Linked DNA regions of Arabidopsis thaliana. Each later gene encodes a partner of the first gene's protein in a complex. Each region holds a gene or a part of one and is shown on either strand. Other genes may lie near its edges. A codon is read from its position in the direction of its gene.

Region 1 (9,622 bases):
AACGTTGTTTTCAAATTTAGAAACATTGCAATGTTTCTTTTGAATACTGTGTGATCTAAGAAATTGTACCTTTATGATTAGAAGTGATTTTCTCTTACTTACAGTCTCTGGTGCTAAAGGTTTTGATGTTTTGTTTGCAGCCAATTTATGGGTTTTCAGTGTCAAAAGTGATAGATTCTGGGCATCCAGATTACAAAAAGGGAGACTTACTTTGGGGATTAGTTGGATGGGGGGAGTACAGTCTTATCACTCCAGATTTTTCACATTACAAGATCCAACACACCGATGTTCCCTTATCCTACTACACTGGACTTCTCGGTATGTTATCTCTGCTTCTCTTTTGTTCATGTATGTAATTCACTTGATAGTGAGAAAGCTGGCTATATACAATGCTTGATGTACCTCTCTCTATGATTATTGGCATGATAGAATGGTCTTAGAAGCTCCTAATCATGTAGAATAGTTGTTTTGGTTGCTAACATATCTAATAACTTGGTCAAAACTCTACAAGTTTCAGTAGTTTACTGGTAGTCTTAGAAGCATCGCTCTGTTTCTGACAGGTATGCCCGGTATGACTGCCTATGCTGGATTTTATGAAATATGTTCTCCTAAGAAAGGAGAAACCGTATTCGTGTCAGCTGCGTCTGGTGCAGTTGGTCAGCTCGTGGGACAATTTGCAAAGATTATGGGCTGCTATGTTGTTGGAAGTGCAGGCAGTAATGAAAAGGTAACCAGAATTTTCTTGGACTCTAGCTATTGATCCATTTCCTTATCAAGAGATTCACTTGTCCCCTTTTTTCTTTCTCCGTTGAGTTTTGTTATAGGTTGATCTTCTCAAGAACAAATTCGGGTTTGATGATGCATTCAATTACAAAGCAGAGCCAGACCTTAATGCTGCCCTGAAGAGGTCAGTATACTTTGAGAATGTAGGAGACAAAATGTGATATAGAGATCTGATTCAAAACTATGATATCTTTCTTCTCACAAGGTGTTTCCCGGAAGGAATCGACATATACTTTGAGAATGTAGGAGGCAAAATGCTAGACGCAGTGCTCCTAAACATGAAACTACACGGCCGTATCGCAGTATGTGGTATGATCTCACAGTACAACCTTGAGGACCAAGAAGGTGTACACAACCTAGCAAACGTGATCTACAAGCGGATTCGGATTAAAGGGTTCGTGGTCTCTGATTACTTCGACAAACACTTGAAGTTCCTGGATTTTGTGCTTCCGTATATAAGAGAAGGGAAGATAACGTATGTTGAGGATGTAGTTGAAGGACTTGAGAACGGACCTTCAGCTTTGCTTGGACTATTCCATGGTAAGAACGTCGGCAAACAACTCATAGCGGTTGCTCGTGAATGAATCAGACGTCTTTAGTTGGAGAATGAGTTACAAGAATTTGTTTAGTTGTGTCGGAAGTTTATTCTTACAACTTGAAAATAAAGCCTCTTTTCATAGGCGTAACTACAATTGCATTTTTGGTTGTTTATTTTGATTCTTTCATTGGTCTATTCTACAATTTTGTACCTATAGTAAATAATATAAACTCACAATTTTTATACGGATATTCTGAGGGATGTTTTTTTTTTTGAAAAACAAGTTCAAAATATTTCATTATTTTCGATCAGAATCAAAAATATTTTCAAAAATGTTCGTTTTTTTTTGCATTTTCCAAGAAATTAAAAAATCGAAGAATATGTGCTTCAAATAAGTGGGCTTATATGTACTAAAGCCCAAATAAATGCGTTGTTTGGTACAGCTTCACGAACAATCTCTCTCTCGATAGATTCTTCTTACCTCTGAATTTCTCGTTGTTGGAACAATGGCGTCGAATCTCCTGAAAGCCCTAATCCGATCTCAGATTCTTCCATCTTCCAGGAGGAATTTCAGTGTGGCGACCACACAGCTTGGCATTCCAACAGACGATCTAGTCGGCAATCACACCGCCAAATGGATGCAGGTAATCTTCGCGATCATGAGTCCTTAGTTTTCTAGCTCTTTCGCATCCCAAATAAATATGTACGAGGACTTGTATCGTGAATTTAATCTGGGAATTACACTAATTTACTCGGGAATTAGTCTCGACGATCTCCCCTAGGGTTAGATCGTGATTTGGCATGTTTACGATTTACTGATTCGGTTTCGTAGTCGATTCATTCTGCTGAAATTGTGTTCCTGTCATATGAACTGGAATTTGGAAATCACAGGGAATTGTTCATTTCTGAAAACTCTTGCTAGTCAGTCTTGATAACTGAAGATATTTGTTTCGATGTTGAATCAGTGGTCTTGATATCTGTTCGAAACTGCTTAGAACTTGTTTTGGATTTTTGAGGACATTAGGTTTACTATTACATGGGAAATTTGTGGTTGACGAAAGAAAACTATCTGACCTAAAATCTGTTCGTTGGGAAACTTAGGCTTCCATTCATGTGGCCATGTTTTTACATGTCTTTGACTATCATCCAGTGCAAAACAATAATTAAAGCCAAAGGGCTTGAGAGCAGAAGAGGAGTAGAAGAAAATATTCTCATTCTTTTCTCATGAGTTGTGCTATCTATATTGCTCATTTTAAGGGTATAACCATTACCTTCATAGCTATGGTCTTGGAGTTAGTTCCTTTCGCTGATGAATTTTGGGCGGTAGAAAATGACGTATGTTAGTTTACTGTTAACTTTTATATTTGTTAGTCAAATCAATAAGTTGGGTTGAGCTTTCTCCTTTATGTTGTCACTACCCTTTGACCAGATCAGCTTACCCTTTTTATCAGTGCTTGAGAAAATTGTGATGAAGAGCTGATTCATCACATACTATTCCTAGTTTAAGATGGCAGCTCTGCTTTCATTGAAAACTAGTGATGTAATCTAGTGAATTTTTTTTGTTTGCTGAGACTTTCAAACCTGTATATATAACATAAATTGCATAGGCTCTATACCAGTCCTTTCTGGTAAATTATGAAGTTTCTGTATCACATTTTGTTTTCTTTTGCCACATTCCTACAGGATAGAAGCAAGAAATCACCTATGGAACTGATTAGTGAGGTTCCACCTATCAAAGTTGATGGAAGGATTGTTGCTTGTGAAGGAGGTCTGTCTCCTCTTCTCCTCAGTCGCTCAAGATATTTGGTTTAGTGATCATATAAATGGGCACAACAGAAATTGATATATAAATTGACTTTTGTCTTACTTGCAGACACCAATCCGGCCCTAGGTCATCCAATCGAGTTCATATGCCTCGACCTAAATGAGCCTGCGATCTGCAAGTACTGCGGCCTTCGTTATGTTCAAGATCATCACCATTGAGGCAAATTCTGAAAGTGAACTGCTGGTCTCTCTCCCCTTTTTATTGCATTTTTAAGTTTGTGTATTGTTTTTTTCTGGTGTGCCTACTACATCTTCAGCTATATTATCTAATAAAGGATTCGATCAAAGTCGGGTAAGTTTGATTTTTGTTTGATCTCACTTCAGCACTTGTCATGTTGTAACATTCAATCTCTGATATCACTGTCTTTTACATGCCATTGAGCTCAAAAAACAGCAATGGCCTTTTTCTGCTACCAAGATCATATGAAAGTTAAATTTTAAACAAATACAATTTATTGAGTTTTTCCCTCTTGAAAATTCGTTAATAAGATAATCTTCTTCAGTTTTTTATAGTGTGGTTATAATTTGATTGCGGAAGTGAGCAAATTCACATAATTCTCGAAAATATTTGAAAGCGTAAGAACTAGACAAATAGTGAGCCCAACAAATATTTACTATGCTTACAGGGCCTATAAAGCCCACTAATAGGCTTTTGAAATCGAATTGCACGTGAGGCGCATGTGCCATTTAAAATTGAAGACGCGAATAGATAAAATATCCTACTCGCACCTGTAGCGCGTTAACGCCACGGAGCCCAAACGGCTGGACTAGTACAGGGATTTCGTCGTTTTTCAGCAAAATAAAAATAATAGGCGCGTGGAGATATTTCTTTTTGTTTTAAACTCATCGCCTGAATCATTTACCGTCAAACAAAGCGAGGTGAAGAAGATAACTATTTCTTTGAAGAAGATAACTGGGTGATGTGAGCACAATCTGATTTGAGTTACTGATTTAACTTTTACAACGTCATTTCCATCTCGAATCCAAATTTGATCAAAGTTTGAGTAACTGAGATATTTTTGAATTTTGAGTATGTATATTTTTCTTTTGTATCTTGTAACCAAAGTATTATTATTATCGCTACAATCTTCAACGAAATATTTAGATATATTTCTCAGATTTATTTAAAGTAGTTTAGTTTGAGCTCCGTCAGACAATTAATTTAAAGCAATAAGACAAGTACAAAACCTCTCCTTAACCAAAAAAGGAGAAACAATAGGAATCAAAATCTCTACTTAAACCTCCAAACCAACATCAGAGATTTTTGTGCCCCTTGGCAAAAGTGTGAACATGATACCATTTGACTCACTTTTGGTATATAAACTCATCATTTTGAATCGACTCCAGCCAATTTCCTTCTCTGTTGATGCTCTGCAACTTTGTAATCAACAACCTCTCTGAAAAGCATAGAGTCCAACACACAGTCCTCACTTCCATACACAGCTGCTTGAACACTTGCCATCAGTTTCGCAATTTCTCTACCTGAAAACCCTTCGGTTTTTGCAGCCGCTTCCTTTAAGAGCTCCTCCGTGACACCCTTTATCTCGATCTTCTGCTGTTCTTTCTTGAAGAGGCGGTCGAACAAACCCGGCTTGCTTGGACCAGCCTCAGCTATGTACTTTTCTAGATAGAGGTTTAAAAGCTTGAACCGCTCTTCTTCTCCAGGTAAGGGGAATTCGAGAACTTCATCGACACGGTCAGCCACAGCTGAGTCTAAGTCACCAGGTCGGTTTGTAGCTAGTGCTAAGACTATGTCTTTGGATTGATCACCCGTGCGGAAGAGAAGAGCATTTAGAGCACTCCTTTGGGCTTCACTCATGTATGTTTTGTTCCTCCTGTTAAATTTCGATGAACACATCAAAACCATAAACAAAGTGTTGAAATGATCAGCCTGTGATTATGATATGAGTATTAGCACTTACTCGCACAAAAATGCATCGGCTTCATCAATGAAGAGCAATAAACCTCTCTTAGACTTTTTGCCCCAATCAAACAGTTCGTGAATCTTTGTAACAGCCTGAGCTCCAAGGGGAGCAACATCTCCACCAGTCATCAGTGCATAATCCAAACCCTACACGAAGTACGGAAGTTAGGAAAGTAAGAATAGATAGGAACAAAACTCCGAGAATCTCATGAGCAACCTAAATCTAAGAGCTCAAGTTCAACTTTCAAATGTAATCATGGAAATCAGCAACCACCATCTTCTGCTCTACCGTCCTAATTCTGTCTGCTAGAGACTCCATGGTCTATTTGGGTGTCTTATAACAATTTTTGTAATAACTTTTTTATATATATGGAAAGAATACATACAGATTTACGAGCCAGCTCTCTGGCCGCCATTGTTTTTCCTGTTCCTGGAGGACCGTGGAGAAGAATATTTCGGAAAGGAGCCTGGTGGAGTTTTGTGTTGGCGGTTGAGGTAGCTAGGTGCTCAATTCTCTTTGCTAGCGGAGGATGCAAAATAACATCACCGAACCTTTTTCCATTTTTGGAAGCTGACTCCTTACCCCGCAATGTGGACATTACACGAGAAAGCGAACCAGACCAAGGGTACTTGCCTCTTGATGATTCTCGGATTAACGATGGTTGTCCTAATATTCTGTCCACATAGCTCCAGATAACCTTTGCACCTTCTCTGCAACAAGCATTCAGCAACCGGCTAAGTCTATATTTCACTACTGTAGAAAAAATGACTGACAGGTAATAGAATCAAGAAATGTAAAACGAGAAATTTGCTAGTCAATGGCGTAAACACTTCCTCAACCCTTCAACAAGAACTCACGATTATGGCAAAAAATATTGTCAACATTCGGACTACATCTCTAGTCTTTACCTCGTTGTGTAGATTCCAGCTGCCAGAGCAGTTACACCCCCAACAGCGACAATCAGTTTATTTTGATCCGTCAGAATAGCACGTAAACCGCCTAGGAAACAAGAATAAAGTGTCAAACACCTGTTAAAACAATTAGTATTTTCATTTATTTATGCAACGTAAAGATTATGAGGTCACACATCTATTCTAATTACTAATTCTTGATACCCGAACATTCACCACACAGGGATTTACAATGTTTAGTTAAAACCTGCCAAAAAATGACTGAAGCCAACAAGAATATAACAACAGTGAGACTATGTATGGATATAAATCTCACACCTCCAATATGGTCGAATGTTGTGTTTATGGCAGCAACCCATTTCTCTCTTTCTGCATTTGCACGATCAACAAGCATTCTCCTGTTTACATCTTCAGCAAGCCTAGCTTCATGGGCTCTTCCTTCCGCTTCTGCTATAGCTTTGACCCTGATGGTCTCACGTTCAATCTCAGCCTTCTCCCTCTCAGTTTGGCGTCTCTGCGCCTGGATCTGTTCCTCAGTAGCTCGTCGAGCTTGTTCCTGCCTAATTGCTGAATCTTCTTGCATTTTCACAAGTTCTTGATTTCTTGTTCTATGGAACTCATTCTCGGCCTGTAAAACGATATACACATCACACAACAAAAGCTGTTAGAGAGAAGAAACGAAGCTAACAGTGTTGAAAAATTGTTTTGAGGATTTACATGCCTGCATCCTCTTTCTTGCCAAGTCATCTTCATAACGGGCCATCTGCGATTTTGTCTGTGCTTGGTGCTGAGCAAGCTTTTTCTGTTCATCATATATTACCTTATGCCTCTCCTGTAAAATGGAACATGTCAGGCACACAACTTTGTTGCCAAGAAGCAGCTAAACCGAGTAATAATATTAATCAATATGTATCATAGTGACCATTGGAAGCAGATTTTGTCACAAGACACTATTTTCAACTTTACTAAGATAACAGCATAATCGTTATGCCACAGTTGCTAACTCATTTCTATTAGGTAGCCATTAGTTGTTAACACAATTGTTCAAGAATATATAAACAGACATCCAAATATTGGTTAAGAAACTTAAAGTTAGATGATCTCACAGTTTCAGCTTGGGCTTGCATAGCTTTAAACTCTTGCGCCTTCGTTGCAAACTCAGTTTGCTTTGTCTCTTCTTGCTGCTTAATACTTTCAAAAACCTACCAGAACCAAATACACAACAACTGTGAGCTTAACCACGATTGATAAACAAACAGAAATAGAACAATTCTGAGATCCAACACAGATGCTACCATTTTCAATCACTTTTAGGTTCATCATACAAATTATAACCTAATTGAAACATTCTTCTGTAGCCTTTCCTAAACCTAAGCATGATTCGATTTCACAAAATTTCTAACTATAGAAAGAGAGAAAAAGGTTCAAGACCTTTTTCGCGTAAGAGGAATGGTTAATCTCTTTCAAGGCTTTAGCACCTCGCTCCAGTGCCTCCGGATCGAAACCACCGGAACTTGTCCTCGGATTATCATTGCGAGCTCGCGGAGGAGCTGAAGATTCTTCACCAGCCAACGACGGTGGAGGAGGAGAAGCCTGCTGCTGAGGATTCGCAGAAGTAGAGAACCCAGAGAGATTGAAGGGACCATCTGCAGAAGCGACTTTAGATTTCGCAAGAGAAGCCGAAGCTGCTAGGGCTGAAATCAAACCAATCGCACATTTCTGAGCCATTATTCCTGGGAAACGAGACTTAGGGTTCTTCGAGATTCGAGAATACTGTAAGAAAATGTGATTTATGTAGAAGAAATTGGCTTGGAGAAGAAGAAATTCGAAGTCGGAATATCTGTTGCCATTAGAAATCTCAAAGTCGACGAGAAGGTTCTCAAGGTTTAGGTAGGGTTTCGGCGGGACAAGTGTTGGATCGGTTTCTGGATAACTTGACCCGATAACCCGACCCGTTTTGTTTCCTTTTCCTTAAAAGGTTTATGAAAGCAAATAAATTAAAACTTAACAAAACTTTGGCACTTGAATTTGAACTGAATAAATAATTAACAGTAGTAGCATAAATAATTCCATCAACAGATAAAAGATTACAAAATTTAAAAAGACAAATAAAAAATGTCCTTTCCCAACCAAATAAAAAAACAAAAAATAAAAGACAATGAGAGAAGTTCTTTGACTTGCTCTATATTTTGGCTCAACTATACTTGTGTGTTTCTTGGCCAATCTCTGTCTCCATCTTTAGAAAGGACTAAAGAAAGAGAATTTTTGAGAAACCAAACCTATGAATCATGGGAAAGTGAAAGATCCTCCGATTTGAGTGGAACCAGCAGGTGGATTAATGGCAACCCAAAGCAGAGATATGGTGATGGCAACAAGTCCAGACCAGACATATACAATGGTCGGAGTCCTTCCTCTTCTTCCCATAAGCCCTTTAGCGAATGGATAAAGATGAGCCAGTACCCAGAAACTGAAGAACACTCCTCCAATCAACTTACTCCACTGCGGAATCACACTGTATATCGTCCTGCTAAACCCGACCGCGATGGCGATTAGGTTCACCATCATGATTGTGATTGGTGGGATCATGAGGGATGTCCATTTCACAATGTAGAGATCCGCAAATTCGTCGTCTACATCCTCTCCTCCGGATTTAGATGTCAATGTGAATGAGATTTCGATTCCGGCAACAACTTTGAGCAGCCCTTGGATAACCGCGGCTAAGTGAGCGCTTGTTCCTCCAATGAGCCAGAACTGCTCGTTTCGCCACCATTCCTCGAGTGAGATTCCTGACCATTTGATCTCGAGGAGAGCGAGTAAGCAGAGCGTAATGGAGATGATTAAGAGGTAGACAAGGAATGTGACATTGAGTGTTTGGACTATGAACTGGCCTGAGAATAGGGAGAGAGCTGGGAGGAAGCAGTAGACTATGAGGAAGAATGATGTGAACGGGTAGATTCCAACGTTTAGGTAAGCGATTCTCTGGAGGATTTTCATTCTCGGGCTAGCAAAGAAGGCATTGTTTCTTGAGAAGAAGATCTCTACCGAGCCAGTAGCCCATCGGAGAACCTGGTGAAGCCTATCCGTCAAGTTGATTGGAGCTGTGCCACGGAAAGCATCCCTTTTGGTCACACAGTAAACCGATTTCCAGCCTCGGTTATGCATTCTATAACCTGTGACCACATCTTCCGTGACAGATCCATAAATCCAACCGATCCGAGATCCCCACTCGGTTTTATCCTCGTACCAACAAGAGATGACGGCTATGGCTTCTGCCACAGTTGATGCATCAAGAAGCTCGCGAGGAATGGTGAGAGCTCCGGGTGGTCGTCCGTTTTGCACAGCTGGGTGATCCGCAAGAGGACGACCTTGGAACTCGGCAACCGGGATTGAATCGATAAGGAAAGTGGAGTTTCCGAATTTCTTCGGAACCAAAGAAAGATTCATCTCTTCATCATCATCTGAGTCACCACCCATTCTCAAAGATCGGTTTTCTTCTGGCACACGGCTTTTCTTCTTCTTGCGAGAGAAGCAGCAACTGCAGAATCCGGGATGGTGTTCTTTAGCCCGAGGTGGATCGAATCCGTACAACGCGATTCTTCTAAAGAGACAACCCGTTCCGACATAAACAGGACCCATCAACC
Region 2 (9,932 bases), on another chromosome or scaffold:
ATAGGTGAAACATCAGATAAATCTTGTTTATCAGGTTGACTGACAGGTCTTTGCTTGGGAATATTTTCAGCAATTCCAATTTTTGTATCTTTGAATCCGGGTCGTGTCTGGACAGAAAAGTCAGAAACCTCAGCTTTCACTTCAAAATATTTTGAAGGTGCACGTACATCACTGTGCTTATGATCTTTTCTTTCAGCGTACTGAGATGATTGTGCTTCTGTTACGGAAACAACTGAGCTCTTACAACTTTCTGTCTCAACATCCACAGGTTGAGAAGACTGCTCCACCTTCAACCGTTTTAATGATGGTTGCAAATGACCTGAAATATCAGCACCAGGCGAAGTACAAGATTTTGCTCCAGCAGAGGTCTGTACAGCGTCACTTGATATTCCTCCACCATTCACTGACCTGGCTGCATCGGTTTCATTTTTTAATCGAGCAAGGGACCGTGCATTTGCCTGTTGCTGTAGGTAGGCCTTCACAGGAATACAGACAGGGCAGTTAGGTTCCTTACAACTTCGATGATGATTAATCAATGTCTTTGTGGGGAGGCAACGAGGATATGAACATTGAGGTGCAGCACAACTGTCCATGTGTTTCCAGAGCTTTTGAACCGTAACACAATTTCGATCAGGACACTTCCCTTCAGGCGCTTTGCAGTGGCGAGCATGGCGTAGAAAGAGGAGCCATTTCTGTTGATTTTTGAATCTCGGATCCCGGTTGCCATTTCCATTTCTACAAGTGGTAGCAGTAGGATTTTGGGGATTAAGGGATTCTGATGTAGTCGAGACACGATTTTGACCTATAATTGAGCCTCCAGACATATTATTGGGCTGAGCTTCATCCGTTCCAGACATTCTTTGTCGGAAATCCTCCTGAATGTGCCGTTCGTTCGACATACTATTAGACATTTGAGTATGTTCCTGTGACTGAGATTGCCAGTGACCACGCATCCCAGATTCTGTTTTCACTCCAACAGAGAGGTTGCTAAAACCGTTGACAGAGTCTGAAGCCATACTATGCGGGTGCAACATCTGCTGTATCTGTTGGCTATTTTGAGGAACTGATGTGCACATATCACTCTGACTTGTGACAGGGAGAATCTGAGAACCTGCATGACGGTCTTCTGCATTGTTCTGGTATTGATTCTGAAACTGAGAAAGCTGAAATTGCTCAGGAGTTTGGGAGTGGATAGACTCGCTAGGGTTCTCCATTCCAGGTTCATGTTTAACGTGAGTAACCATATCAGAAGCCACATTATTTTGCCCAAAAGCATCGTGACTTATAAATCTCTGTTGCTGCTGGCTTTGCTGCTTCAATTGCTGTTGATGAAGAAACTGCTGCTGCTGTTGGTGAAATTGATTAGGTTGTTGCTGAAACCGATTAGGCTGTTGCTGAAACTGCTGCTGTTGATGTGACTGCAAAAAAGGTACGAAAGATGATTACAAATCGGTATTCTCAGATTGATGTTTCACTGGTGCACTTTGCTGCATGCAAAGTGAATTCCATGGATTGCTTACCAAAGAAGAGCTAGTTCTAGACACAGCCTGGAAACTTGCTGTATTGGCATTCTGAGTATTTGTCATCATCCCAACAGATGTTACAGCACCATACAAATTTCCCGATCCGAATGGGTCAGAGTTGTTTGTGCCATATCCATCACCTGAAACGGTAAAATAACATAACAATTAAAATATTCTGATGAATACGCACAACAACAAGAGGTTAGAAACTACAATTTAGGGATGGGAAATAAAGACTTTACCCTGCATTCCTGAACGCTGAAGATTATCATAAGCCTGCTGTGAATTTCTGATAGGATTGGTGTAGGATGTACCTGAATCTACGCTTTTTGCATTCATTCCAACACCACCATTTATGGAGCTGTTAGACACATTAGACAATTTTTGTTGCATTCCAGGTCTAAGGCCAACACCCATTTGACTTCCATGGTTTTGCAGCATACGACTATTTTGGCCACCAATATCCTGCCTCAGTTGCTGTTGCTGAGTCTGAGGTACCATCATGGGAGCAGTAGAAAATCCACCACTATTGTTGGAAGCTTCAACACTCAAGTAAGACTGGCCATTATTGCTGTTGTTATTAGTACTACTGTTGACAAATCCAGGGGTAGGCATCATCTGGCCGGTATTTCTCTGGGAGCTCATGGATGACATGTTCCCTCCAGACCCAAGACCAAAGTTACTCGATGAATGTTGGTATCCATTAGACAGGTTACCTGCAAAGAGAAGTAAAGGTGTTCAGAAAAAATATGCGCAGAAAATTTTATGCCCATATTTTATATAAGTTGTAGTGAAAGAACCTCCAAGCATGCCACCAGAATTTAGCAGGTTTCCAGTGTTCATAGCACTAGTTGTGATGTTATTACTTCCAGCCATTGTAGCATCACCTGAGGAAGTAATCATCAAATTTGGATTCCCACCACTGTGTTGTAATCCTGGAGTGGGTATCATTGTTCCAACCGAAGAAGAATTAGCGTGTCGCTGATTGTAGTTATTTAACTGCCTGCCTTTGATTAGACTTGCCAGCCGAGGTTCAAGGGTTGACGGGTTCACGTAATCTTCCTGCGATTCAAAATGGAAGTGTAGCACGTTAACAAGAAATTTCAAGTTAGGACATTAGCCAACAAGCTGGATCTAGTGGCAAAATTTTAAATGCCAAATACGTGCCTATCCTTTCCTTAAGTATATTAAATAAATACCTTTGTGTTAGCAATTTTAAACAGCCCCTCCTCTAAGCGTCTAGCAACATCCATATATTTAGCCTTTGATGCTTCATCAGCTGGAGATGGTTGCTTTTGCTGTAAGATATTGAAACTGAAAAGAAAGAAGAGAAATACACGGATTTGATTGGCGATAAACTGGAGATATTGAATCCAATCCAAAATAAATAGCCGTATAACAAGAGCAAGGAAATATAACTGCAAAATGGTGGGAAGACACCAAAGTCAAAAGCTTGAGAAAAGCAAAGGCTTACATCCTGATTCGCATAGCCTGCCGAAGTTTCAAGATGTCATTGTCAACGGGAGAAACGCGTGAAGGTCCTAAACCAGCACCAGTAGCAGGAGCTGAACCACCACCAACTAAATTCTGCATTTGGGAGTTCCCATTTTGCTGGGACATAGTCCCTTGGTTTGAAACCTGCCCCGACATGTGAGCCTGAACATTCATAGCTACCTCTTCAGTCTCCGTCGCCTTGTCCTAGTTCTTCTGGTAATTAACAGTAACAAACACTGCATAACTTTCCTCTCCTCCAGAAGTCACAGTATCCAAATTTCATCTCCTGATTTAGCACCTTAGAGAATGTCCTGCTAAAAAAACTTGGTGTAATCAGAGAACTGAAATTGTCACAATTTGATCTCATATTAATTGGGAGATAGTATCAATCATAGTATCAACTAAAGAAGTAATTAAACCCCAAAATAGTTACCAAAAATGAACAAAATGATAAACCCTAAAAATTCACCCCCAATCTTTGAATTGATACAAAAAGGAGTAAAATTTGGCAACAAAGTGGAGAAATTTGACGGAGACCAACCGGTTGCTACAGATTGTACGATGATTGGAGTCTGCACAATGAAACAAAGCCGGTGAACAGCCGATGCGGCACGTGTGAACTCAAACCAAAAGCGAGGTCAGAAATTAGGATCAAGCAGTAGACAAATCCCAGAAAGAAGATGGCAAATCAAAAGCGAATGAATTCAGGTTTTCCCAAATCGGGGGATGTTCTGGGCTTGTAGGTTCGTCGAATTTGGGATTTTTCTTTGGACTCGCTCGATTTGGGGATTTTGTTTTTTTTTTTCTTTCCTTTCTAGGGATTCGTTGTTTTTCTAAAATAGTAACTCAACAAAAAATACACATTAAAATATTAATTTTGCTGTCTGAATACGATAATTGGCGCAACCAAAAGGCAAATAAATGAAAAAATCGACAAGCATTATGTTTAGATCGGACAGATTAGGATAAACTATAAGCATATGATCCTGTCCGTCCGCCGTAAAAAAAAAAAAGACATGATCTTGTCCGTCCGATCAAATATTTCTTAATGTACAGATATACCCTTGTAGCTTAAGACTTATCTGTTTTCAGTCTTTGACCAAATTAAATGCTCTTTCTCCGAACCGAAAACACCTAATAACCGGAACTCATGAACCGAAAATCAAAGTCAGGTTGGTTACAAACAATTCAATTACACAGCACAAAATCTGGATTACAAAAGAGTTTTCACACGCATATGATCTCGTCTTTATTTTCAAACAGAAGCAACGAAAATGTTTCCCCGGGAAAAACAAGTTGAATGAAGCAGAGACTGTTGTAGAATGGTTCAGCGGTAGAGACTCTCCGACCTCAGATTCTCAGCAATCTCTGTCTCCCATCGATCTCCATTCTCAAGAAGCTTCTCTTTGTCATAGAGAAGTTCCTATCATAGAGAATATAACAAAAATTTCAATAAGCATGCCTCGAAAATTATTAGGGTCTAGAAAATGTGAAAAACAGACCTCGTGTGTCTCGGTTGCGAATTCAAAGTTAGGTCCTTCAACGATTGCATCAACGGGGCAAGCTTCTTGGCAGAAACCACAGTAGATGCATTTTGTCATGTCGATATCGTACCTGTACGATACAGCTCAAATCATCATGAAAGGGTAATAAAGAAAGCAGATGGTTGATAAATGAGAACTAAAGGGATGATGACCTAGTGGTTCTGCGGCTTCCATCTTCCCTCTCTTCTGCCTCTATTGTGATTGCTTGAGCTGGACATACCTGATGAAAAGGACAAGTATCCCTCACAAGAATTACAATCCGTGGTGAACTTTTATACACACTAAATAGATCATTGTCAGCTAATATGACCATTTCATCAGAACTCTAGAGACTAAACAGTAAATATTACTCATACTCAAATAGCTTTCCTAATTACTAAGATGAATTTGATAGACTCAGAGTACCATATCAGAACAAAGAGAACGTTAAATTAAATGAAGGATTCATATCGATCTCAAAACTCACAGCTTCACAGAGTTTGCAGGCAATGCAGCGTTCTTCCCCGGTAGGATATCTTCGAAGAGCATGTTCACCACGGAAGCGAGGGCTCAGAGGACCCTTCTCAAATGGATAATTGATCTGCATACACGAAAGAGCTTCAGTAACACAGATTTCTTTCAATCTAAGTTTGGAAGACTAGAAAAGATATCACTCACAGTAACTTTTGGATCAAAGAAGTACTTGAGGGTCAGCGACAAACCGCGGACCATTTCTGTGAGGAACAGGGTGTTTATGCTCCGTTCAAAGACTACAAATTTGAGAATATCAGGAATCACTAATACTCGGGGAGGAAAACACCAAGGAAGATAGACGTACAAGAAAAGAAGAAAGGAGAAAAAAAGTAAAATTGTCTAGATCATATGGATTACCAGTATTCCAGTCCTTGGAGATTTCCTTAGAAAGTTGCTCTGCTTCTTCATCATCTGAATATTACATACGCAAACCATAAGTCATATATGAATCAGAATCTCGTAATACAAGTTGGAAAAGGGGTAGATTCACAATTAAACCTGATTTACCAAAGAAAACCAAACAAGAGCAGAAAATATACCTTTGTTGCTGCCATAAGATATACCACGGGACTGCAGTCTAGACAGATGAGATCCCTGTAAAGCTTGCCCTGACAAAACCTATCAATGTCGAGAAGTAATCAGAGAGGTATTCAGAACATACACACCATATCAAGCTAATGAAAGGATTAAAGCTCGCAAAAAAAAACAAAAAAAAATTGACTTGCGAAAAGGCTTTCGTCACAAAAATTAAATGCGAAAAAGAATAAGGAAACCATAAGTAAAACGAAAGCCCTTAAGATGAACCATGATCAAATTCAAATCTCCCTACATGATTTCATCGATCAGCTAGATAAAATCCAGAATCTCGTCGACACAAAACAAAACACAGAGAGTGAATAGAATCATCTTAAGCTCCCAAAACTCCAGGAGACATTCCCATTTCTAGGCATTCAAATAACTCTAACTAAAGGACACAAAATGAAGAAATAACAAGAGCGAACAAGATTCATACGAGATGTCGAGCACGGAGAGTATTCAGTGACCTGCGAGCCAAAATCGAAGCCATTGATGGAGCACCCAAATTCCGATTTAGGTTCCTTCCTTCTTCACTGCGATTGATGAGCAAACCTGAACTTCCGATTAAAATCAATAAAGAGCCCTAAAATCCTATTTTGTCCTTTGAGTTGAAGATATTATTACAATTTGGTCCCTGGTACAATAGTTTTTGGTTTTCCAAACCGCCGATAGAACCGGATTTTGAATTAAACAGATTCTTTCCTTAACCGAAAATAAACAGAAATACACACAATAACCAGTTAGTTACAAAGTGCTAAAACTTATTTAGCTGAGAATCGTTATTGCATACACCATTGGTGATGGAAAATTCTTTACAAAGCAAGATTGTGAAAATATCTCAATCGAAGTTGGTAGACCGGTGATTTGGAGCAATGTAATAAGAGTTTCCACAATTAATGTGAGATTGCATCAACGGATTCCATCTATCGAAAATAATTCGGCCACCACGCCCAATCCTCCCCTGAAACCGACTTGGAGGTTGACCTGGTGATGAATCCGGTGTTGGAGGAACAATCCCTGCAGCTGCCAGTTTATCGGGAACCAGCGGTTTTGTGAATAGCATTACCGGTTCATTAGGATCCTAAGGAACAAAATCATTACAGGTTTGCTTAAATGATTGATTATAGTAGCTAGAGAGAGCTTAGGTGTTGTAAGAGAAGGTTTTACCAGTCTGTGAAGCCATCCATGCTGTGACTGTCGTCTTCTAACTTCTTGTTTGATGCCTCCGGGATGAGATGCATTCAGATTTAAGTTGGTGAAACGAGAACTAGGAATAACCGCAGGTCTTGTACGTACACGAGTACTGGTGTGATCATCAGAGTCCATCAGTTCATCATCGCTTGAGCCAAATTTGTATGATGTTGTAGTGGGTTGAAATCCAGGCATAGCCAAGCTATCTTCCAAGAGCTCTGTTTCATGCTGCAAAAAAAAAAACAATTTTAGACCCGGAAAACGGAAAACAGAGAGTTTTAGAGGAAGTAGAAGTAAGTACCCTGTATTGGAGTTGGATTCTCTGAAGGCTAACCTCACTGTCCATGACATCCCTCTTCTTCTCTTCTCTCTACGGAATGGGTAACATCAAATTAGCAACTTTGGAGAATGCAATCCGCTTGTTAAGATAAACACTAAAACTGTCATATAGAACACCTTAATGAGAGCCTCCAGAATGCTCTGTGCTTGGCCTAGATTGCGTCTAACCTGATAATAACATATCCCATGTATTCAGAATCCAATAGAAAACCATAAAAGAATCACTAACAGATCATTAACAAGCAGAAAAAACAATGTTGTCCAGAGAGAAACTAAAAGAAGGCACTGTAAACGTAAATTGCTCAGATTTCAGGAAATTAAAGAACCATAAAGGTTCAGGTGCCTCACTCACCTGTCGAAGCTTTTCAAATGACTGCACATTGTTTTCTCTCCTCTGCATCTGAAGATGAAGTAAAGCCTTATCACTATTTTTCTTTCTCCAGTTGGATTTTAATAGAAAAAATGTCGCACATGCATAAAAAAGACAGCCTACCCTTCTTGTGTGGAGTCTGTGAACTTTCTCCCTTGGCCTAAACACATTATAGGGATTGGTGTCATTAACCGGTGGGGGAGGCTGTTCCAAACAATGAAGCAAAACATTAACTAAATAATCGAGGTAAGATGCCTTTCCAACATAGGCCTTGATCGTTTCAAATGGAAATAAATAATACAAACCTGTAAACGCCGTAAGATAGGCTTCTGCCATCTTTTACGCTAAGTTCACATAAAAAACAGAAAACGAAACATATGCATAAGTATTATCAGCCAAAGGTACTCCATATGTGGAACTGCTTTGTCATTCACAAGAACTATGCATAGGTTTCACGAATCAAATAATCTATTAAACCGTCTTATCTCACCCCGTAAAATAAGATCATTAACCTATGCAACATAACGTCTGTATCCAGAAAACTTGTAACAATCACATAAGTTTTATTTCAAACCTTTTCTTTCCAGTAGTTGAAGATCGCCTGGAAGGTTCCATAATTAATGGACAGTACTTGCAGCACCTGCAATAAGAATCAGAACTAATCATTCAAATGTTTTGTACTGCTTCTAAAATGAGTGTAGAGTTATAATAACAAGAGATATATAATCCAAAAGTAAAGGTATACATCAGAAGCAGCATCAAACTGCAAAAGCACAGGAACTGGAGAGCCGAGAGTAGGTGTAATAACTCCTGCTCTTTCCCGCGTCTTGTGATCCAACACCTCTAGTTTAAAAATGATGATCTCAAGCCTGTATCAAACAATTTAACACATTTGTGTTGTGCATCAAATGGAACGATTCTTCTTTCGGTATCTATTTCACTAAGAGTTTTGGTTTTAACAATTTTAGCAGAATCCAATTTCTAGTGAATAAAGCAAACTAATTCAGCAACAGTACAAAACTAAAAGACGCAGAGAGTCTGAATAACCCAATCCGCCTCAACGTTTAAAATATCAGCATGATGCAGCTACAAGATAACAGAAAAATACTGATGATGATGATAAATCCGAAGAAGAAGAGCTATAAGGATAGTTGGATTGGTTACTTTACTTTTCAGGTGGAAGTTCTTTCTTATCCTTATCAAACTCATAAAGCCAGTCTTCATCCTCATTGTCAAGATCATACTCCACAAATTCTCCAAGCTCAGACCGAGCTGCATAAACAAACAGACAAACTTATAGTCTGCACATAACAAAGAAACCACCTTCATTGCCAATGAATACAAAACCAAATCAGAGGAAATTGGTACCTCCTCTTGCACGTAGATAAGAAGCAGGCTGACCAAAAGTCGGAGAATAATCCCTTTCATATGTATCCACAATAACAAATTGAGGTGTTGGTATTTCTGAAGCCGGTTTCTTACTTGGCACTGGAGCCACCTGATAGTAACAATGGTTAAAATGGTCGAATGTTTCGAAGTTAGAACAAAATGGAAATTCACCTCATTGTCAACTTCTACGGAAGCAATACGCAGCAACTGAGAATTTCTAGTGGTAGAAGTTGGAGTCTCATCATCTTCAAAGTCTTTAAAGGATTTTAAAATGGGAAGCTTCTTATGAATGTCTAATGGCCGTGGCCGGAAAGAGAGCCTACTCATATTACCTTCTTCCTCACTATTCTACTTACAAGTGTGCCTATAAATACAGATGATAGATATCTATATATATATATATATATATGTATGTTGCTCCAATAAGACAGGACGAAGCTTAATCTGTAATACTCAAATAGCTCAGAGTGCCAAAACTCGAAAAAAAAAGGTTTACACGAAGAGAAAACAAAACAGAGACAACGAAATTAATCGAACACGAATTTTAGGGTTAGGGTTTTTGTTTTTGAATCTGAATGGAACGAGAAAAAGAAAAATCAAATTAAATACCCAAAATTTCCAAACCTATATCCCTCTTCGTCGTCAATTTCCCAGATTCTAGGGGTTTTTTTTCCTCTGCCGGGAAAAATTGCGGCGGCTACCCAAAAAGGAAACTCTTCCGTGATTAACCCAGAAGGTCAAAATCGAAGCTTTGAAGGAAATTAAAAAAAAAAAATATTGGAGGTCGACGTGTTTGATTCGTCAGCAACATACAGAGGAGGGAAAACTTTAGTAAATTTGGGTTCGATTTCTCAATTTTTATTTTCTCATGTTTAAAAGGGACAGAATTATTAAAAATTCAAACTTTATAAATTTAGTAACCATTAACATTTCTTTTTTAAGCTTCTTCTTATCAAATGAACCACCTTTAAATCTACACATTGATTCAGAAAA
Region 3 (11,183 bases), on another chromosome or scaffold:
AGATAGTTGATTCTTGTGTCTTTCTCAAGCCTTTGGAAAAACTCAACCACTTTGCGAACCCGAAATAGCCTTATCCACAACAAGTACCTCACCAACTCATGTTTCCCTGATGCCTACAAAAAGGTTAGGGTAGGAGTATAAACCAAACCAAACCGAATCAGAACCAAAAATGTATTTAAATAACCCAATTGGTTTATTATTTAAACATCGAAATCGAAGTGAAACTGATTTTAGTGTAAACTAACCAAATGAATTGATATTTATGTGAATTTTATTTTAATTATATAAGAAATTATAATATGTGTTATCATATTAGATAAATATAATATTAGTTAAGAAATATTTTTATATGTTTCAAAGTTACTTTTACAAAATTTCCAACCTAACTAAGCTAAAATTGCATCAAGTAGGAACTAAAGTTGCATCACCTAGAAACGAACCAAACAAATTACAAATAGTGTTTATTTGGTTTGAGTTTTTATAAACCAAGAAATATTTATAAGCTATAGTGTTTCTTTGGTTTGACTTTTGTTGAAGATCTAAGCAAATATCAAAAGCAAAGTTAAGTACCTTATAAATAAGATCCCAAGGGAAGCAACCGATGAAATCCATGAGAAAATGCGACTTCAAGTACCTGATGAAAGACATACTTCCTCCATTAAAGGCTATATAAGTAGAAATGGTTAAAATGATTGTAAGAGTCTAATATATATAACTGACCGGAAAGCAATACGTGTTGGTTTGTAGACAGTCCGGTAGGTCTGAGTATCGCGATAGGCAACAAAGAACTGAAGAACAATATCGACCAAGAACGCGATCTGACCAACAATGTCAAGTACAAAGAGTCTCTCAGGCAGACCGCGGAAGAAACCAAACTCCATGGGAGTGAACAATGAGGAGTATATTGCCCACACCAATATAAACATTTCCCATGCCTTGTACCACCTGATCAATTTCTTCTCACTTTTCATTAATTCAGGTCTAATCAAAGATTCTTGAAAATGTAAAGATTGTGGCTTATACTTGATTCGTCAAATTGGTAATGTAGCTAAACGGAATCGTGGGAAGGAGACAAATGAAAATAATACTATAGTTATTAGTTAAGTGCAAGCAACAACGTTTTAAATTTTATTTGTTTAAGATCGACATAGCTGGACTAAGTTGAATATACATTTTCACTAGTATAGTTTTGTTATTTTATAGTTAATGTTATTATGCTTAGAAGAACAGGTGGATGAAATATCCACGTGTGGCCTCTGGTTACGGCAGCTTTAGTGGAACCAATTAATAATCCGATCTTCGATGATTCTGTCACAACGCATAATTACTAATATAACCCTAGTGAAACATTTATGGGAGTGTAACAGTATCCTCTAGTGGATTCAAGTTGTTTAACGTAGTATTTTTTTTTTTATTCCTGGTGCAATTTAACGTAGGATTCTATTTAAAGATAGATTTAAAGTTTTTCCTTGTTTTGGTCGGAATTTGGTTTTAGATTTAAGTTTTAAATTTTCAATAGGTCGGCTGCAAATAAAACAAATGCTTAGATTGAGGTGATCAGTGGACAACGAAAGAGAAGAAATATATCACAAGGAAGTGTCCCACCAATTTCTTTTTTCTTAGTAAATAATAATGAAAAGAATATCGACAACAAAATCACCTGATTAGCATCTAATATCTACTTTTGATAAGTGATGAAGATTATTCATCTAAATCCTAAGGCTATTAATGGATGATACGAATTAAGCGATTAGACCATTTTATTTTTAGAGCGAACAATAAATTCTGTAGACCAAATTCACTTTTACGTAAAAAAGATATATCGTTAGTCCATTGTAGACGGATTCTATTTTTATTATTTTGTATTACTATAAATTATACTTTATGAACGGTAAATAAAAAGCAATCCAAACTGTAAACGGATTTGTCCATTCTAATTATCGTAATTTTTCGAACCTTAAATCATTTAGTTGTTTTAAAAAATCCTTGACATAAATATTAATATTTAAACTAGATTGAAGTGATACTAATATTAGATTAGATTGGTGACACAGCCTTAAAAATGAGCAGAAAGAAATAACGATAAGAGTTTTAGTGATTGATAATTATTAAAATGGTGAATTTTCTATTATTGTATTATTCGAAGTTAAAACTAGGGAGACAAGTTTTTGAAGTGGTATGGTGAATAAAGTTTTTTTCTGAAGTTACAGAAAAAAAAACAGAAGATATTTTGAAGGTTTCAAGAAAAGTATTTTCTACGTATTTATCTCCCGATAGAAAGGAAACTCTTCAAGTGCATGATGAAGAAAGAGAAAAAAGAAAGAACCTGTTTTTGGGATGAATGATGTATTTATAATCATTATGACCATCGGTTTCAATTCTCCGATGCTCTGATGAATCAAGCCACCGAAACGTCTCGGCTAAACTGAGTTTTCCTCTTCTTGATGAAACGTCGTCGTTTGATTCCTCTTCTTCATGATCTATTATCTCTTGCCGTCTCCGGAGACGTCCCATGTTTTCAAGAATCGGTTAAATGAAATCTCCGGCGATCTCTTCGACACAAAGATCTAGAAAAACAGAGTTTAATACCCGATTCAACTCTTGAATCTGACACTCGAAACTTCGTCTTTTTGGTAGAAGATAGATCTTGTAATGTTTTACAAGTTGAAGAGAAAAGGCGGGAAGATCACGAGAGCTGCTTCTCTGTTTTTTTCCAAATTATTTTTTGTTTGGTCTTCTTTAGTTCTTCTTTCTCGTGATGTTAAAGCTATATTGATTTTGTTTCTGTCGAGAAACTACTGTTTTTTTTTTGTTTGGTTTGGACTCTTTATTAGTTGAAGTGTATAACGTAAGGTTTTGTCTAGAAGGACCGAATTTATATAGGACATCAGAACATGTCGATTGTCGAACATATATCATTGTTTTTTTAATATAAAAAATCTCATCTAAATTAAAATTTGGAATTGAATTGTACGAACGGCTAATAAAAATTTACCAAAAGATTACGATGCTCCAAATCTGGATGATGATTCCCTAAACCGGTTTTTGTGAATCATTTCTAGCATAATCGAATTTAAGTTAATCTGGACTAGTGTACTTGAACATTCACGGGGTAAGTGGGGGAGTTATTTTTTTTTAAGACAATAAATCTGTTGTAAATTGATGTACTAGTTATAGACATTAATGGGTGTGTAACAGCATTTCCTATATGTTTAACGTAGGATTTCTGTTTAAAGTAAAATCAAAATTTACATCAGGTTTTGAGATTTTTAGTTTTAAATTTTCCAAATGGTCGGCTTTGTATAAAACCAAGAGAAGAAATTAAATATACACGAATATGAGGACGTGTCCAGAAAAAGAAGAATATCGACAATAAAAATCACCTAATTTGCATCTAAATATTGACTTTCATAGTACGCTAGAGATAATCAGTTCATCTTCACCTTATTCTTTGCATTGTGTAAAAGAGAGATTATGCAGAGTTTCCTAGTTGACGAGAATGAGATAGCAGAGATATTTCTTGTTTTCGTTTTGCACTTTAGAGGTACTACCTTATCGAGTTGTATGAATATGATTGTCTTGCTTCTATTTTTTTTTTTCATTTTTGGCTTTGATTGAATAAAGGTGAGAATTTTTATTTATTTTTCGCAAAGTATTTCCTTAAAATATTAGTATTTCGGTTTAGATTAGAACAAATACGAGACGATAAATAGTTTGATAACAAAAAGCTATATATGTTGTGTTTCATATCTTATCAACTCGGTCACATCCTCTTTCCATTGGATGCAATTCTTTTTCATAGAAGAACCACTAATTCTTTTTTTTCTTTTGCCATTAACCCAACAATTTTTATTGTAGTTAGTGGTTCTCCCTTATGTTTCTTTGCCTTGGAATGTAATCACTCTGTTTTGACAAAAAAAAAAAAAGAAGGAATGTAATCACCCTGTTTGACAAAAAAAAAGAAAGGAATGTAATCACTCTGTTTGACAAAAAAAAACAAGAGAGGAATGTAATCACTCTTAAAGTGATCTATAACAATTTGAAAAAGTGTCATATTTATTAGCTATAACTTATAACTTTATAAGTTTTGAATGGATGCAGTGGACAAAGCGGTATACTTTGTATGCGGTTTAATCTACCTTATTTTGAGGCGGACAATAAACCGCTGTGGACCAAGTTTATTTATATGTAAAAATAGTTCGTGGATGATTCACAGATGATCTGTTGCGGTTTTCTTCTTTTTTTTTTGTCCGGACCACTGTGCACTATAATTGATTAATGGTAAATAAAAAACAGTCTGATCCGTTGATGGTTTTGTCCGCCCGAACCGCCGTAACCATTCAAACCCATAATTAAAATTATAACGAATTACTATGTAAATTTATAACTAAAACTATCAAATTAAACGAGTTAAATTATACTTATCATGTCTGCCTGTAATGATAAGATAATATATATCAAAGCTTATGAAACTTCATTTTTTTTTTTTTTTGGTTGTCATTGCAAAGGTTAGATTAATAACAATATCACTGATAATGATGCTTACACGTAAACCTAAACAAACGAGGAAAATAAACTAACTCTTACACGTAAACCTTAACCGATGCAGCATAGGTGTTGACAATATTTTCTTTCCTTTTATTTAAATAGACGACGTTGAGATGTTTAAAATTGTCATCATTTATAACCATATTTTAAGTTGTCTTTATCTGAAATATACAAATGTTCAATTAGTACATTGACCTAAAAGTCTCTAGGACTAATGATTGATTAGAGGTTTATTTTGCTAGAGGTTCTAATATGTTGTATGGAACTAGAAGCAAGATTGTTTTAAACTCAATGTCATTAAGTGAATTAGAGAAAGATCATCAAAACTCTTAAACTATATCTCCCAAAATTAACTTAATTCAGTTTGAAAAGAAAAAGCCCACAAAGCCCAAAACTCACTCATTCATAAGCCAATTATAATATCCAAAATAAAAGCCCATAAAGCCCAAAACTCACTCATTCGTGTCTCCTTCTCTCTCGCACAAATGCTTCAGGAGTTCTCACAACAAGATCGAGAAATACACACATAGAAGACGAAGAAGAAGAAGAAGACGATACAGATCCACAACGCCATGGGTTTAGGCATCTTAGCTTCTCGAACAATTCGACCAGCTTCACGTCTTCTTCAATCTCAAACCTCCAATTTCTTCCTCCGCACAATCGTCTCAAAACCAGAGCTCCAATCTCCTGAATCCGCTGCTGTCTCTGAGCCTGAGCCGCCGACACAGATTCTCCCTCCTAGAAACCCTGTAGGTGGAGCACGCGTCCACTTCTCGAATCCTGAAGATGCGATCGAGGTCTTTGTCGATGGTTACGCGGTCAAAGTCCCTAAAGGATTCACTGTTCTTCAGGCTTGTGAGGTCGCTGGAGTTGATATCCCGAGGTTTTGTTATCATTCTCGTTTATCTATTGCTGGAAATTGCAGGATGTGTCTTGTTGAGGTTGAGAAATCTCCTAAGCCTGTAGCTTCATGTGCCATGCCTGCGCTTCCTGGTTAGTTCGATTCCAGGAAAATTTCTATGCTGATGGATTGATTTTGATCGTTGATTGGTGGAATATATTTGGATTTGGTGCTATTGCTAAGAGTTTTTGTAACAGGGATGAAGATTAAGACTGATACACCGATAGCTAAGAAGGCGAGGGAGGGAGTGATGGAGTTTTTGTTGATGAATCACCCTTTGGATTGTCCTATTTGTGACCAAGGAGGAGAGTGTGATCTTCAGGATCAGTCTATGGCTTTTGGATCTGATAGAGGACGTTTTACTGAGATGAAAAGATCTGTTGTTGATAAGAATCTTGGTCCTCTTGTGAAGACTGTTATGACTCGGTGTATCCAGTGTACAAGGTTACTAATATAGTTTGCTTATAGTGTGATGTTTTAGTTAATGTGATAGATACGCTATCCTGTTGATTAGGTTTTGTATGTATAATGTTTTTGTAGGTGTGTACGATTTGCTTCTGAAGTTGCTGGGGTTCAGGATCTTGGTATACTAGGTCGTGGTAGTGGAGAGGAAATTGGAACTTATGTTGAAAAGCTTATGACCAGTGAACTCTCTGGAAATGTTATTGATATCTGTCCTGTTGGAGCCTTGACCTCAAAGCCTTTTGCCTTTAAAGCCAGAAACTGGGAGTTGAAAGCAACAGAAACTATTGATGTTAGTGATGCTGTTGGGTCCAACATCCGTGTTGATAGTAGAGGACCAGAAGTAATGCGTATCATTCCACGCCTGAATGAGGTATGTAATGCTTTTGTTCAAAAACACTATTTTTAAAAGTATTTTGCTGGATGTTGAACTTGTGAATGTTCTTATTCAGGATATAAACGAAGAATGGATATCTGACAAAACCCGATTCTGTTATGACGGCCTGAAAAGACAAAGGCTGAGCGACCCTATGATCCGAGATTCCGATGGACGATTCAAGGCAGTGAGCTGGCGTGATGCCTTGGCTGTTGTGGGTGATATCATTCATCAGGTGAAGCCAGATGAGATTGTTGGAGTAGCAGGTCAGCTATCTGATGCGGAATCCATGATGGTACTGAAGGACTTCGTTAACAGAATGGGCTCAGACAATGTATGGTGTGAAGGAACAGCTGCTGGTGTTGATGCTGATCTTAGATACAGTTATCTGATGAACACTAGCATCAGTGGACTTGAAAACGCCGATCTCTTCCTTCTCATCGGTACCCAGGTGAGATTTCCACCCTGTCTTTTTTGTATGGTTTCTGGTACCGGATTAGACAGACCGCTCTGTATTTGGAACAATGACATAAGAAAAACCAAATTGTGTAGTTTGATACTTTGATTTAGTGGTGTGGCTTAAGGTTCTGTGCATAATTTGGAATACAGAGGCAAATAGAAAGGAGAAACAAGCAAAATTAAGTTTCTAAAAAACAGATCAGATGTTAACATTTCGCTTGTATTGAATATTCCTGATCCAGACCAATCTAGATCAAGCAAAACTTGCTCTTCCAGATATCAAAGTTGTGAAGGTTTTTTAGCAGTACATTCACCAGTTTTTGTCTATTTTTACCAGCCTAGGGTGGAAGCTGCAATGGTGAATGCTAGGATCTGCAAGACAGTCCGTGCATCAAATGCCAAGGTTGGATATGTTGGTCCACCTGCAGAGTTCAATTACGACTGCAAACACCTCGGGACTGGGCCTGATACTCTCAAGGAAATTGCTGAGGGACGGCATCCATTCTGTACGGCTCTCAAGAACGCCAAAAACCCTGCAATCATTGTTGGTGCTGGGCTCTTCAACAGAACTGATAAAAATGCTATCCTCTCTTCTGTGGAGTCCATTGCACAAGCCAACAATGTTGTCCGACCAGACTGGAACGGTCTCAACTTTCTCCTTCAGTATGCTGCCCAAGCGGCTGCTCTTGATCTTGGTCTCATTCAACAGTCCGCCAAAGCCCTCGAGTCTGCAAAATTCGTCTACTTGATGGGAGCAGACGATGTAAATGTTGACAAGATTCCTAAAGACGCCTTTGTGGTTTACCAAGGACACCATGGAGACAAAGCGGTTTACCGTGCAAACGTAATTCTCCCTGCATCGGCCTTCACTGAGAAAGAAGGAACCTATGAAAATACTGAAGGATTTACCCAACAGACTGTTCCAGCTGTTCCAACAGTTGGTGATGCAAGAGATGACTGGAAGATTGTGAGAGCCTTATCCGAGGTCTCGGGTGTGAAGCTTCCATACAACTCAATCGAAGGTGTTAGATCAAGAATAAAGAGCGTTGCACCAAATCTAGTCCACACAGATGAGCGAGAGCCAGCTGCTTTTGGGCCTTCATTGAAGCCTGAGTGCAAGGAGGCAATGAGCACAACACCGTTCCAAACCGTGGTTGAGAACTTTTACATGACAAACTCGATCACAAGAGCATCAAAGATCATGGCGCAGTGCAGTGCCGTGCTCTTGAAAAAGTGAGAGCTTTAACTTGGGTTTTCACATTTTCTCTCTTTTCGCAAAAATAAAGATACTGATTCTTCGTTTGCTGTCCTCTTTATAGACCTTTTGTTTAAGCCTGAGTATCACTGTATCTCGGGTTTAGCTTGCGGTGAAATCTATAAGCAATTTGCAATAAGCACATTGTTAGATTCAAAACTTTGCAGTGTTAATTGGATGCTTTGTGGCATCTTGTATTGTTCTTATTAGGACTCCCTTTTACATTTGCATATATGAATTTGGAGGCATGGCGATATATACAATCTCTACTTTTATCGTTTGTTCTTAACCATTGTGATTGTTACAAATAATGCAAATCTTGAAAGGATTAGATGGTTTCCAATGTGAGATGATCACTTGTGAACTAAACTGTTTTTGACAAGTTATGTTACCTAAAATCATTTCAGTTTCAACTTTGTGATTGGTCATAAAGAAAATTTCAGATAGATTATGAAAGACAATCACAAGTAACATATAAATTTATTTTAGAAAAACTTACCTAAACCAATCAATTTTTTTTTATAGCTGGGATAATTAATCCATCCAACTTTTTTTATCTTTCTCAAACAACCAACTTTTTATTATCAAATTGCTTTCTTACTGATTAGGTCTTATATCTAAAAGTATAATATAAGCAAAAAAATTATTTAATTTAATTAATTTTAAATAACCTGTTTTTTTTTTTTTTTGAACTTCAACACATTGTTTATTGGTTAAAATCCATGCTAAATGGATAAGATTTTTTTGATACATGTCCAAATCTTGTTGACCAATAACACATGTAAAAAACATTTTGTTAGTTTTTTTTGGGTAAGAATAATTAGTATATGTAAATATTCTTTTAATTAGTTTTTATTTTCTGTAAAAGAAAACAAAAAAATAAAACAGTTGTTGATATCTAATCGAGAAAGTTACCCGTGTCGCAATCATGTGAGTTACTAATTTTGAAAACCAAAGTTTATATAATAAAATAATTATACCAAGTTAAGTTCATAAGTTAGTAATCTAGATTTACACATTTTTATACAGATACACAATACATGTAATAACAATAATCATGTACCATAACACTTAATAAAAAAATGAGTTAATTATATAGTTCAAATTTTATGAAAAAGAAATCATGTGTATCTAGAAAATATTAATGTTATTTATATTTCTCTTTATCTCATTTATTTTGATATTATTATATAAATCTCTCTTTACTCTTTGATTGCCACTCCAACCTTATTTCTTAGAGAATATGAAATTAAGTTTTCCAGGAAAGTTGTTCTTCTTGTTAGGTTATATCCTATGTTTCAGCGATATATCGAGTTTCAATAATCATTTTGTGGATGCAGAAACATTGCAAAATTTCACCTCATTTGAAATGGAAGAACAACTTAAAGTCATCGACGAACATGCAGCTAAAATCATCAAAGTCCGTTTAATTTCATCTTATTTTCTTAGAGCTGCACTCGTTACCTTGATTTATACATATATATATATATATATATATATCTGAATTTTGTAGAGATATGTGAAGTTTACAAAATATTTTATAATCTACTTTTTGTTTATGGATGATAGACTACACATGGAGATACATATGAATGTGTGGATTTTTACAAACAACCAGCGTTTGACGATCAGACCATGAAAAATCACTTGCTCAACTACAAAGTATATAATAAATTGAATATAAGTGAATCTGATCATTATTTATCACTAATACAAAATTCTTTGTAAATGTAGATGCATCAGATATCATCCCGTAAAAATTCAAGAACAAGAAAAATAAATGACAAAAAATTTGGTTTCTTGTGGGAAAATGGTGTAGGGTGTCCCATTGGTACCATACCCATACAAAGAGTCACCAAAGACAAACTTTTGAGATTAAATTCGTATTCCAACAAATCTAAGCCCCAAGGTTCTTGGAACTTCACTTATAATCAATATAATGTCGAACATCATGTAAGTAGTACCCTTCCTTATGTTTTATAAGATGTTTTAACTATTTTTTTCTTATGGTATAAGTTTTAGTTATGTAAGAAATATAAGTGTGTTTTAATTAATTACCTTTAAAATTCTAAATTATTGTTGTTAGAAACAAATTAATTTCAAAAATGTAAATATAACTTTTTAAATCTCCGTGCAGTCATCTTTATAAAAAGATACAAAATATATAATTTTGTTATTTTGCTCAATATATAGAATTCTATTAAATTCAAAATAAGAGTTGATTATGCATGGTTATGATGACTAGTTTGCAGTTGCTCGAACCAAGAGAGGAGAAAAGAAAAGCTATAGTGGAGTATCGATGGCTATTTCTGTACATGATCCTGAAGTTAGATCTCCGCAATTTAGTTCTTCTCGTATGCACGTTCAGATTGGAGACGATTTTATTCAAGCTGGATGGACTGTAAGTTTGTTTCAACATTTTATGTTTAATTAGAGTTGCGGCCTAAAAGTATAAAAATATAAATCATAATAAATTGGTTTTATTATAAATACTTAGAAATATACTACACTTAGTTTTAATATTATTAACATAAATCTATTAAAATTTCAGGTAAATCCGGCTTTATATACTGACATGCAACCACGAAGTTATGTTTATACGAAAGTAAGTTTATTACTTATATATCTTCAAATACCAAGAAACTTATTTAACTTTTCTTTTTTTTGACAGCTCCAAGAAACTTATTTAACTATATAACATGCTATTGTAAAATGATTATAAAATTTAATCATTTGCCTAAATTACTTCAAAATTTAAAAGATAAATTAAACACACATTATATATCTTTACAAAAGAAAACAAAATTCCTCACATTATATTTTATTTTTATAATTTCATTCTAAATATTGATTTTTTTTTTATATTTCAAACAATTGAAACAAACAAAAATGATGTTCAACGCAACCAAAAACAATGTTTTCTAAATGAATATTTTGTAGCGTAATTTATCATAAAAAAAAACAATACTATAAATCACTCCATCATATTTTGTAAAATTATTCGATGTATTAGATATTTATACGCTAGACATAACGATACATGTAAAATTTGTATAGGCAGGTCAAAATCAGTGTTATAACAGCTTGTGTCCGGCTGGAATCATTTTGGTCCGTTCAGATATTCCTCTTGGTGGGCTTCGAGGTCCTCCTGGTGTCCGTGGTTCTACACAAATAGTATATGA

What was found.
Region 2: the proteins of AT3G03070 (region 1) and AT1G79010 are in contact, whole or in part, in a cryo-EM structure (PDB 8BED), measured with the Arabidopsis thaliana proteins. Residues at the interface, in NP_566191.1 of Arabidopsis thaliana: Gly38 (codon at 1,939), Asn39 (codon at 1,942), His40 (codon at 1,945), Lys43 (codon at 1,954), Pro53 (codon at 3,023), Met54 (codon at 3,026), Ile57 (codon at 3,035); in NP_178022.1 of Arabidopsis thaliana: Glu143 (codon at 4,748), Glu144 (codon at 4,745), Arg145 (codon at 4,742), Glu146 (codon at 4,739), Asp147 (codon at 4,736).
Region 3: the proteins of AT3G03070 (region 1) and EMB1467 are in contact, whole or in part, in a cryo-EM structure (PDB 8BED), measured with the Arabidopsis thaliana proteins. Residues at the interface, in NP_566191.1 of Arabidopsis thaliana: Ile69 (codon at 3,071), Ala71 (codon at 3,077), Pro83 (codon at 3,218), Ile84 (codon at 3,221), Glu85 (codon at 3,224), Phe86 (codon at 3,227), Ile87 (codon at 3,230), Cys88 (codon at 3,233), Asp90 (codon at 3,239), Leu91 (codon at 3,242), Lys98 (codon at 3,263), Tyr99 (codon at 3,266); in NP_568550.1 of Arabidopsis thaliana: Pro167 (codon at 5,724), Leu168 (codon at 5,727), Asp169 (codon at 5,730), Cys170 (codon at 5,733), Pro171 (codon at 5,736), Ile172 (codon at 5,739), Met198 (codon at 5,817), Lys199 (codon at 5,820), Arg200 (codon at 5,823), Ser201 (codon at 5,826), Val202 (codon at 5,829), Val203 (codon at 5,832), Asp204 (codon at 5,835), Val214 (codon at 5,865).

Annotation. Positions count from the first base shown.
Region 1 is NC_003074.8:690,275-699,896, reverse strand, and holds AT3G03070 (NADH-ubiquinone oxidoreductase-like protein), read left to right. Parts: upstream 1-1,732; 5' UTR 1,733-1,827; coding exon 1,828-1,965; intron 1,966-3,004; coding exon 3,005-3,089; intron 3,090-3,194; coding exon 3,195-3,304; 3' UTR 3,305-3,655; downstream 3,656-9,622. Other genes in the region: AT3G03080 (Zinc-binding dehydrogenase family protein), read left to right, coding at 141-318, 561-727, 825-907, 989-1,367; AT3G03060 (P-loop containing nucleoside triphosphate hydrolases superfamily protein), read right to left, coding at 4,473-4,980, 5,068-5,216, 5,456-5,780, 5,979-6,069, 6,300-6,609, 6,703-6,813, 7,088-7,183, 7,413-7,709; CSLD3 (cellulose synthase-like D3), read right to left, coding at 8,268-9,622. UniProt on the Arabidopsis thaliana protein: Accessory subunit of the mitochondrial membrane respiratory chain NADH dehydrogenase (Complex I), that is believed not to be involved in catalysis. Complex I functions in the transfer of electrons from NADH to the respiratory chain.
Region 2 is NC_003070.9:29,720,794-29,730,725, forward strand, and holds AT1G79010 (Alpha-helical ferredoxin), read right to left. Parts: upstream 6,236-9,932; 5' UTR 6,141-6,235; coding exon 6,087-6,140; intron 5,693-6,086; coding exon 5,614-5,692; intron 5,486-5,613; coding exon 5,432-5,485; intron 5,311-5,431; coding exon 5,219-5,310; intron 5,142-5,218; coding exon 5,028-5,141; intron 4,782-5,027; coding exon 4,714-4,781; intron 4,632-4,713; coding exon 4,520-4,631; intron 4,441-4,519; coding exon 4,345-4,440; 3' UTR 4,003-4,344; downstream 1-4,002. Other genes in the region: HAC1 (histone acetyltransferase of the CBP family 1), read right to left, coding at 1-1,418, 1,521-1,663, 1,766-2,239, 2,324-2,585, 2,723-2,837, 2,998-3,191; AT1G79020 (Enhancer of polycomb-like transcription factor protein), read right to left, coding at 6,489-6,731, 6,818-7,069, 7,143-7,211, 7,298-7,348, 7,533-7,580, 7,674-7,754, 7,856-7,894, 8,125-8,190 and 4 more. UniProt on the Arabidopsis thaliana protein: Core subunit of the mitochondrial membrane respiratory chain NADH dehydrogenase (Complex I) that is believed to belong to the minimal assembly required for catalysis. Complex I functions in the transfer of electrons from NADH to the respiratory chain.
Region 3 is NC_003076.8:14,892,370-14,903,552, forward strand, and holds EMB1467 (NADH-ubiquinone dehydrogenase), read left to right. Parts: upstream 1-5,040; 5' UTR 5,041-5,120; coding exon 5,121-5,541; intron 5,542-5,646; coding exon 5,647-5,893; intron 5,894-5,989; coding exon 5,990-6,284; intron 6,285-6,363; coding exon 6,364-6,738; intron 6,739-7,083; coding exon 7,084-7,979; coding exon of another isoform or gene 7,980-7,983; exon of another isoform or gene 7,984-8,065; coding exon 8,066-8,078; 3' UTR 8,079-8,278; downstream 8,279-11,183. Other genes in the region: GORK (gated outwardly-rectifying K+ channel), read right to left, coding at 1-113, 571-634, 721-945, 2,327-2,514; AT5G37520 (NEP-interacting protein, putative (DUF239)), read left to right, coding at 10,301-10,402, 11,059-11,183.